Saccharomyces cerevisiae S288C: one gene and its partner. The gene in region 2 interacts genetically with the main gene of each other region. Each region holds a gene or a part of one and is shown on either strand. Other genes may lie near its edges.

Region 1 (3,428 bases), on a different chromosome or scaffold from region 2:
GTATACATCAAATTCATTCAGGGTTGGTGACTATATTATAGAAGCGTTAATGATTCTGATCGTGGTTCACAGTGAGTGCTTTAGAATTGGGCCTCAGCTCATCCATAAGATTTTAATTGAAACGCAGATTTTTATAGCCAGATACCTCTTTGAGGCATTTAAGCCTTATGTTGGTAATCTTTCTAATGATGGCTCATTACAAATTATAGTGGATTTGGAATTCTTTCAGAAGGTTATGGGTCCTTTACTTGAAAAGGACACCGAGGCCACATTAAGGGCGTGCTTACAAAACTGTTTCCAGAACGACACAAATAGACTACAAAAATGTATCAATGAGATTAATCCTATTGTATCTGCCAATTTAAAAAGAACTGCTATTCAATTCGCCGCCTTCAGCTAGAAACAGAGGTATAAAGATGTACTAACAATGATTATTAACACAAATCGGTACGTATCTTTTTTTATATTAGTTATAAAGATGTACTTACTACCTTTTTATTTCACGAGTAATGTTCTCCATGTTTTCTTAACGAGGAAACATTGTATAACGGGTAAATTTCTTCTTTCTTGGTCACCAAGTTAGAATCCCCTTGTACTGATTGTATGATGGCACTGTCAAATTCGTTTGATTTTTCATTATTCACGACAAAACTATTCTCATTTAAGTTATATTCAATGAATTTGGCAAAATTTTTTTGCACACCAGATGATTCCTTATTATCTAGGGTGACTTGGAATTCATCATTATGGGCGGATAATGAGATAACATTATATGGAAAAGTTATAATTTGCTTTAGTGCAAGATCCCCTTTTTGTTTTTCGGACATTTCCAGAATTATTATGCATTTTGTAGCTTCGACGAAAAACGCAACAAACGGTAGGTTCTTTGACTTTATAATTTTACTAACTGCAAATTCAATAATATCATTATTTTCATTTTGAAATCTTGGTGGTGCTAAATGCTGATCATTCAAATAAGGTTTAATCAAACTATTATAATCGAAGGTAGACAAGTTCTTACCAGTTTTCCAATCCCAAGCGAAGATTTTATCGTCACCACCTGCACTTAATAATAAATAGTCTTTGCCACAGCATATGGAAGAAACAAAATGCTTATGACCAAAGAGCCATTTGTCCACAATGAAACATTGGGGATAATGCGAAATTTTAATATGCTCATCTCTATCACTTGTAATTATGAATTGATGACCGTCAGAGTCTTTAATCAAGTGTACATCAGTCAACATAGAGACATGACCGAGAATAGGTTCTTGAGTAAACTTTTCTTCCGGGATAGAATTAATATCAATAGAATATACATCACCAAATTTGTCAGCTATTATGACTGTAGTATCATCTTCGGCTATAGAAATAGCATTCGGTCTCTTTGAGAAGCAGAACCTTTTTCTCAACTTTAAGACATTTTTGGAAGTTTTGTCGACATCGAAAACTAGGAGGGACTTGTCAGAATCTGCGCACGCAATTAGTCTTGATTCATCCGAAGTTAATCTCAGATTTCTTATGTACGAATATATCGGTGGGGCGCCAAGACCTGGAGATGGTACCTTGGCTGCTGTCCTTTTAATGGAATCGCCTTTATTACTTTTCAATTTTTTGTTCTCGTTTTCGTTTTCGCTGGATTGTCCTTGTTGCTCCTTAGCAGTGGTGTTTCTCGATTCTTGAATTTTGTCGAAATCATCAGACCATTTTCCAGCAAATTCCCAATGATTTGGCGATTGATATTTGAAGCTTAAGATACAATTCTTAATGATGGCGAAAACTAATGAGCCATCACGAGAGGTGAGTAAATTCTGCAAAGGATGAATGACGCTCATTGTAAAACACGCGGACTGCTTCAAATTGACAAACCTTGCTATACTTTAGCTGCTAATATATCATCAATACGCCTTTACTAGTAAAAAATTTTTTCATCTCATCGATTTTTTTCACCTCGCCATTTTTTTCGCTGATTAAAAGAAATGTATCTGAGATAAGTGCCATATTTAATGACAGCAGCGTAAAATAAGAATATGTAACGATACAATAAGAAAACTATGTTTATGTGTCACCTCTTGCTTGCGTCTTGGGAAAAGCATTCCCAATAACAGAATACTAAACCGGATGTAGTAGCCCTCTTAGTTTTTCTATCTAACATGTCCATCCTCCTGGATCAAAATATCAGTAATCTTGTATTCCTTACTTGCGATACAGCTATTATTACAGGCACTCTTTAAAAATCATCGAATAGCCGATCGACTACACACTTATCCCTATAACATGGTGTAAGTGATAGAGAGGTGAATGGCGGCGTCGTCTTATGTTCTCGCAATTATTGGTAGATGGTCACACAGCACGGTGTTTTTCTTTTGCTTAAACGATCAGTTTAAGTCCCTATTGAAACTAGTAAGACATTGCTTTGTAAGACCTTGAAAATAATTAGAATCCACTGACAAAGTAGAAGAGTGTGCACATGCTTGGTTTGGCGGAACGATGTCTGATTTAATTGAATTACAGAGGAACTATTTGATAGGGGTTTTGAATCAGATTGAGACGAAAAATAACTTGAAGTTTCTTATTATCGATAAAACTGTGGAGACAATATTGAGTTATCTTTTCCTCACACCCCAAGAACTTTTAAATAATGTCACATCTGTTGATTTGATTGATTCCCCAACAAGAAAAGGACAATCCTCCATCGAGGCAATTTACATATTGGAACCAACGAAATATAACATCAATTGTATCGATGCTGACTTCATGGTAAGACCACCTAAGTACAGAAGATGTCACATCAGATTTTTACCAGGATTAACAAACCCTATATTTCAGTTTTTTCAATCAAAACGTTACATTGCTCAAAATTTGGAGTCATTTAAGCCGATCGAACTAGGGTTTTTCGTCAAAGAATCTCAATTCTTCGAAACTTTACAAATGGAACACTCATTACAGGTTTTTTTCAACAACAACTGTAAGGCTTTGATTCCTACTAACGTGAGGAAGATTGTAGGCTCACTAGTTAGTTTGTGTGTTATTACGGGGGAATATCCGATTGTTAGATATTCTGTATCTAATCCTGTGGAAGAGGAAGATGCCCGCAATGGAAACGCCGTAGTCAACGCAAATTCTTTAACAAGGTCTATTGCAAACGCTTTCCAAATAGCGATAGATACATACGCTCGCAATAATCCAGATTTCCCTCCTCAAAACACTGAAAGACCGCGTTCCATTCTAATAATCACCGATAGAACACTGGACCCTTTTGCGCCAATATTACATGATTTTAGCTATCAAGCAATGGCTTATGACCTGGTAGCTAATGTGGACACACAAAAAGATATATATCATTATTCTGCCGAGAATGAAGCTGGTGAGCAAGAGGAAAAGGTTTCAAAATTGGTAGATTTGTATGATCCTGACTGGATTGATTT
Region 2 (4,093 bases):
CAGTCGACTTTGAACCCATTTTCATAGGCCATTTAAAATACTTTGACGAAGATTTAAGATACGTTAATAGTACAAAGGAAGAAAATATCAAACTTATTGAGGAAGTAAACCTAAGTAAGAAGAATAACCCCGGCAGAAGCGGGATTGAACCAAAGAAAATGGTAAGAATAGATCCCAGAGAGCTATATATTGAAGATCTGAGATATTCCTTCAAACTGCTTGATGAGGTGAAAGAAAATTTAAGTGCCGGCACAGCATTTTACGAAAATTTAATTACTTCTACCAGCAATCTGTACAATGAGGTACAGGAATATGATACAGCAAGAAGAGCAGAAAAAGCTAGGCTTGATAAGAGTTTGACATTTGAAGACCAATGATACCTGTCCTCATTCATCTATAAAGTATATTTTGAGCTTGTCATCCTCCCTTTCCATTATCAAAACCCAGCTTCACTTATGTAGATATATACACTCAGGATAAACTCCTTTTTCCTAATATTTTCATTCCACAGTCTCCTTCTTGTTTATTTTCCATTTTTCAAAATCAGCTTGACGAGTGTTTCTTTTCAAGTTGGATTTATGTCTTCTGCTACCCAAATGAATTTTCCAATATTTTTCGCCAATAGCTACAACGTTCTTACCATCTGCGTTACGACAGACGTTGCAAGTATAATGTGTCCAATCGTCCAATTTCTTCATCGTAGTTTCGCCTTTAGACAACAGCTCCTCTAGGGCTTTAGGTGCCCTTTCTTGCTTGATGGGTCGATTGCTAATAAAGTCATTGGAAATAGCTATCGCTCTTTGAGATGCATTCGTGTCCCATTGAGAAAGGTCAGTGGCATCCAGTAAGTATATATCGCCTTTGATGTCAGGTATCAGCATTTTCTTGATCCATTTTACCTGCCTTTTTGCGTATTGACGTGTTCTCGTTTTCATTCTTTCTATACAATCCTCCAATTTTACTGTGTTGTCATCAGTTTTCCCGGTTAGCCACGGTAAGAATTCTTTGAAGCCAATAACTTGCCAAACACCATTCTCGCATTGCTCCGGCGTAAATTTATTTTGACTGTAATATTCATATAATTGCTTGATTTCTTGCAAGGCGCCTCTTTCTAGCATGTCGTCTACACGATCGTCAAGCCTTTGGAAAAGTGGCTCCGGCTTACTGTATAGCCATAAAAATAGGGTATCAAACTTCAAAGTTATTTTTTGTTCGTTAAATGTCTCGCTTGGTTTTTTGCCCGTCTTATAGTAGATTTCCAACATTCGTTGTACCCTCCTGTAGTCATTAGGATGGTATTTGGTAGCTATATCAGGATCACACTTCACAAGTGTGTTATAAATCACATCAGGGTCAGTCGATTCCAAAATATCGAGCTGCTTCCTTGTGAGCTTACGTTCGGATGATTTCGTATCGACCCGCTTATTGAAAAGAGTCTGCAAATAATAATGAGTACCCCCAACAACGATGGGTATCTTACCCCTCCGGTGAATATCTTCAATAGCGTTCATGCATTCAGTTTCAAAACGATGGGAATAGTATTCTTCTGACCAATCTACGTGATTCATTACATGGTGAGGAATGCCCTCTCTTTCTTGAAGCGGATGTTTATTTGTTATAATAGGAATATCTTTATATACCTGCATAGAATCCGAATTGATAACTTCGCCATTAAATTTTTGTGCCAATTGTATGGACAACTGAGACTTTCCTACTCCTGTTGTACCAGCAATCACTATAACTTTTTTAGACATATTTAAGCAACCTTTAAGCGGTCCCTTTAGCATGAAGATTTTTGGTTCTATTTACAAAAGATATGTACGTATAGTAGCTTATCTAATAAACTATACAGCCCTCACTGAGCTTTTCTTCTTTTTTGCCATTTTAGAATTTTTTTCTGTTTTAATTTTCTTTCCGATGAGCGAAAGATGAACGTGTGCTTTCGCCTGATTCAGTAATCAAGATCTTAGATCGACGTTGCCATCGAGGAGCAGCAACATAAGGAACTTTTACCTGATTTTAGCTTATACGAGCAAAATTCGCTCTTTATCTTTCGAAGGCATGACCACAATAGCGCAAGTAGATATGTAAATAAATCTTCCTAAACCGGTCTCGGAATGCAAAGAGCTTCGTATTTCAAAATTACCCGAATCCTATACATGTCAGGAATCAGGTTATACTCCCTAGCTCTTTTCCTGTTTGTCCATCTTTTTCCTATCATAGATGGTTATGGAGGCGGCTGTTTCTGTAAGAACTACGGAGTCGCGGCCCGGAATGGGAGAAATGCGAAGAAGCAGGCCGCAAGTGGAAGAAATTATTGGGGTAAAAGATCAACTAATGAACTCTGGATATAAAAAGTACAGTTAGCGTTTCTTCCCAACTTTCTTATGCTGCTATCAGCAAATGCATTTGCATAGGCTACAAGCCACAAGCCACAAGCCAATAAGGCATATGAATAATAAGAGAAAAAGTGCCTAATTGCTGTTTATATCAACCGTATGGCGTGCTTTAGCTGCAATAAACTTGTTTTCGCCGATTACCACTAATGGCCGACTTCCACGGATCCCAAAAATAGTGCCACGTCGGTACGGTCGGGCATAGTGGTTATTATTTCCGGGTTGTGACCCGCTTCGGATAATTGATCTATCCCCGAGGTAATAGGCCCGTGCGGTTCCGTCTTCATGAAGCTGCAGGGGCTCCGCTTAAAAGCCCCTGACGGCTCACCTTAAATCCGTGTTACGACACTATGCCAAATGAAGGAAACACTGAAATGATTGCATACCCGCACTCGTGCTTACATGCTAATTGTCCTTGTCAGAGCAAACGGTACCGGAGGCTTGAATGTGTTTATGTGTATATATATATTCGCCTGTATGGAAAGTTATAGGTTGTCAATTTGTTGTACCTGACACATCGATTTTCTAGTCATCACTTTCCTGAAAATTACAGAATAAAGATACCATCTTATACACACACATACACACACAAAGAAGCATAGACATCGTATACATATATTTTAAGTTTTACTAATGCCTTCTTCTTTGACAAAAACCGAATCTAACTCAGATCCTCGAACAAACATACAGCAGGTACCAAAAGCCTTGGACAAAAATGTAACTAATAGCGGCAACTTGGATTCGACTTCTTCTTCGACAGGGTCAATAACAGAGGACGAAAAAAGATCAGAACCGAATGCAGATTCCAATAACATGACAGGGGGCGAGCCAATTGACCCAAGAGATCTCGATTGGGACGGGCCCGATGACCCAGACAATCCGCATAATTGGTCCTCTTTGAAGAAATGGTATACTACTATGACTTCAGCTTTTCTTTGTTTGGTCGTCACAATGGGTAGTTCCCTATATGTTTCTTCCGTACCAGAATTGGTAGAAAGATATCACGTTAGTCAGACTTTGGCGCTTGCTGGTTTAACTTTCTATCTTCTGGGTTTATCGACTGTCATCGGCGCTCCATTAAGTGAAGTGTTTGGTCGTAAGCCTGTCTATTTATTTTCCCTACCTGTGTCAATGCTTTTCACCATGGGTGTTGGGTTATCCAATGGCCACATGAGAATAATTCTACCCCTAAGGTTTTTATCAGGTGTCTTTGCATCCCCCGCCTTATCCGTTGGATCAGGTACCATCCTGGATATCTTTGACGTGGACCAGGTCTCCGTCGCAATGACATACTTTGTTCTATCTCCATTCTTAGGGCCAGTTTTATCTCCTATTATGGCAGGATTTGCTACTGAAGCCAAAGGCTGGCGTTGGTCTGAATGGATCCAATTGATTGCGGGCGGTCTAATCTTGCCATTTATTGCGCTCATGCCAGAGACCCATAAAGGTATTATTTTAAGAAAGCGTGCCAAGAAGAGAAATATAGCCTTGAAGAAGTTCAGCAGGGAAGCTCAGAAAGAATTTTTAAAAACCACTGTCACTATTACAATCTTAAGGCCTTTAAAAATGCTTGTCGTTGAACCTATTGTATTTGTTTTCAGTGTTTATGTCGCTTTCATATTCGCCATTTTATTTGGATTTTTCGAAGCATACGCTGTCATTTATCGTGGTGTTTACCACATGTCTATGGGGATATC

The links.
Region 1: mutations in MOD5 (region 2) and TRM82 impair growth when combined (synthetic growth defect), as found in Saccharomyces cerevisiae (one study listed by BioGRID).

The regions. Positions count from the first base shown.
Region 1 is NC_001136.10:783,278-786,705, reverse strand, and holds TRM82 (Trm82p), read right to left. Parts: upstream 1,836-3,428; coding exon 501-1,835; downstream 1-500. Other genes in the region: exocyst subunit SEC5, read left to right, coding at 1-400; SEC1 (Sec1p), read left to right, coding at 2,491-3,428. UniProt on the Saccharomyces cerevisiae protein: Required for the formation of N(7)-methylguanine at position 46 (m7G46) in tRNA, a modification required to maintain stability of tRNAs; its absence resulting in tRNA decay.
Region 2 is NC_001147.6:835,368-839,460, reverse strand, and holds MOD5 (tRNA dimethylallyltransferase), read right to left. Parts: upstream 1,788-4,093; coding exon 501-1,787; downstream 1-500. Other genes in the region: RIM20 (Rim20p), read left to right, coding at 1-377; TPO4 (Tpo4p), read left to right, coding at 3,030-4,093. UniProt on the Saccharomyces cerevisiae protein: Catalyzes the transfer of a dimethylallyl group onto the adenine at position 37 in the anticodon loop on a specific subset of tRNAs both in the cytosol and the mitochondrion, leading to the formation of N6-(dimethylallyl)adenosine (i(6)A).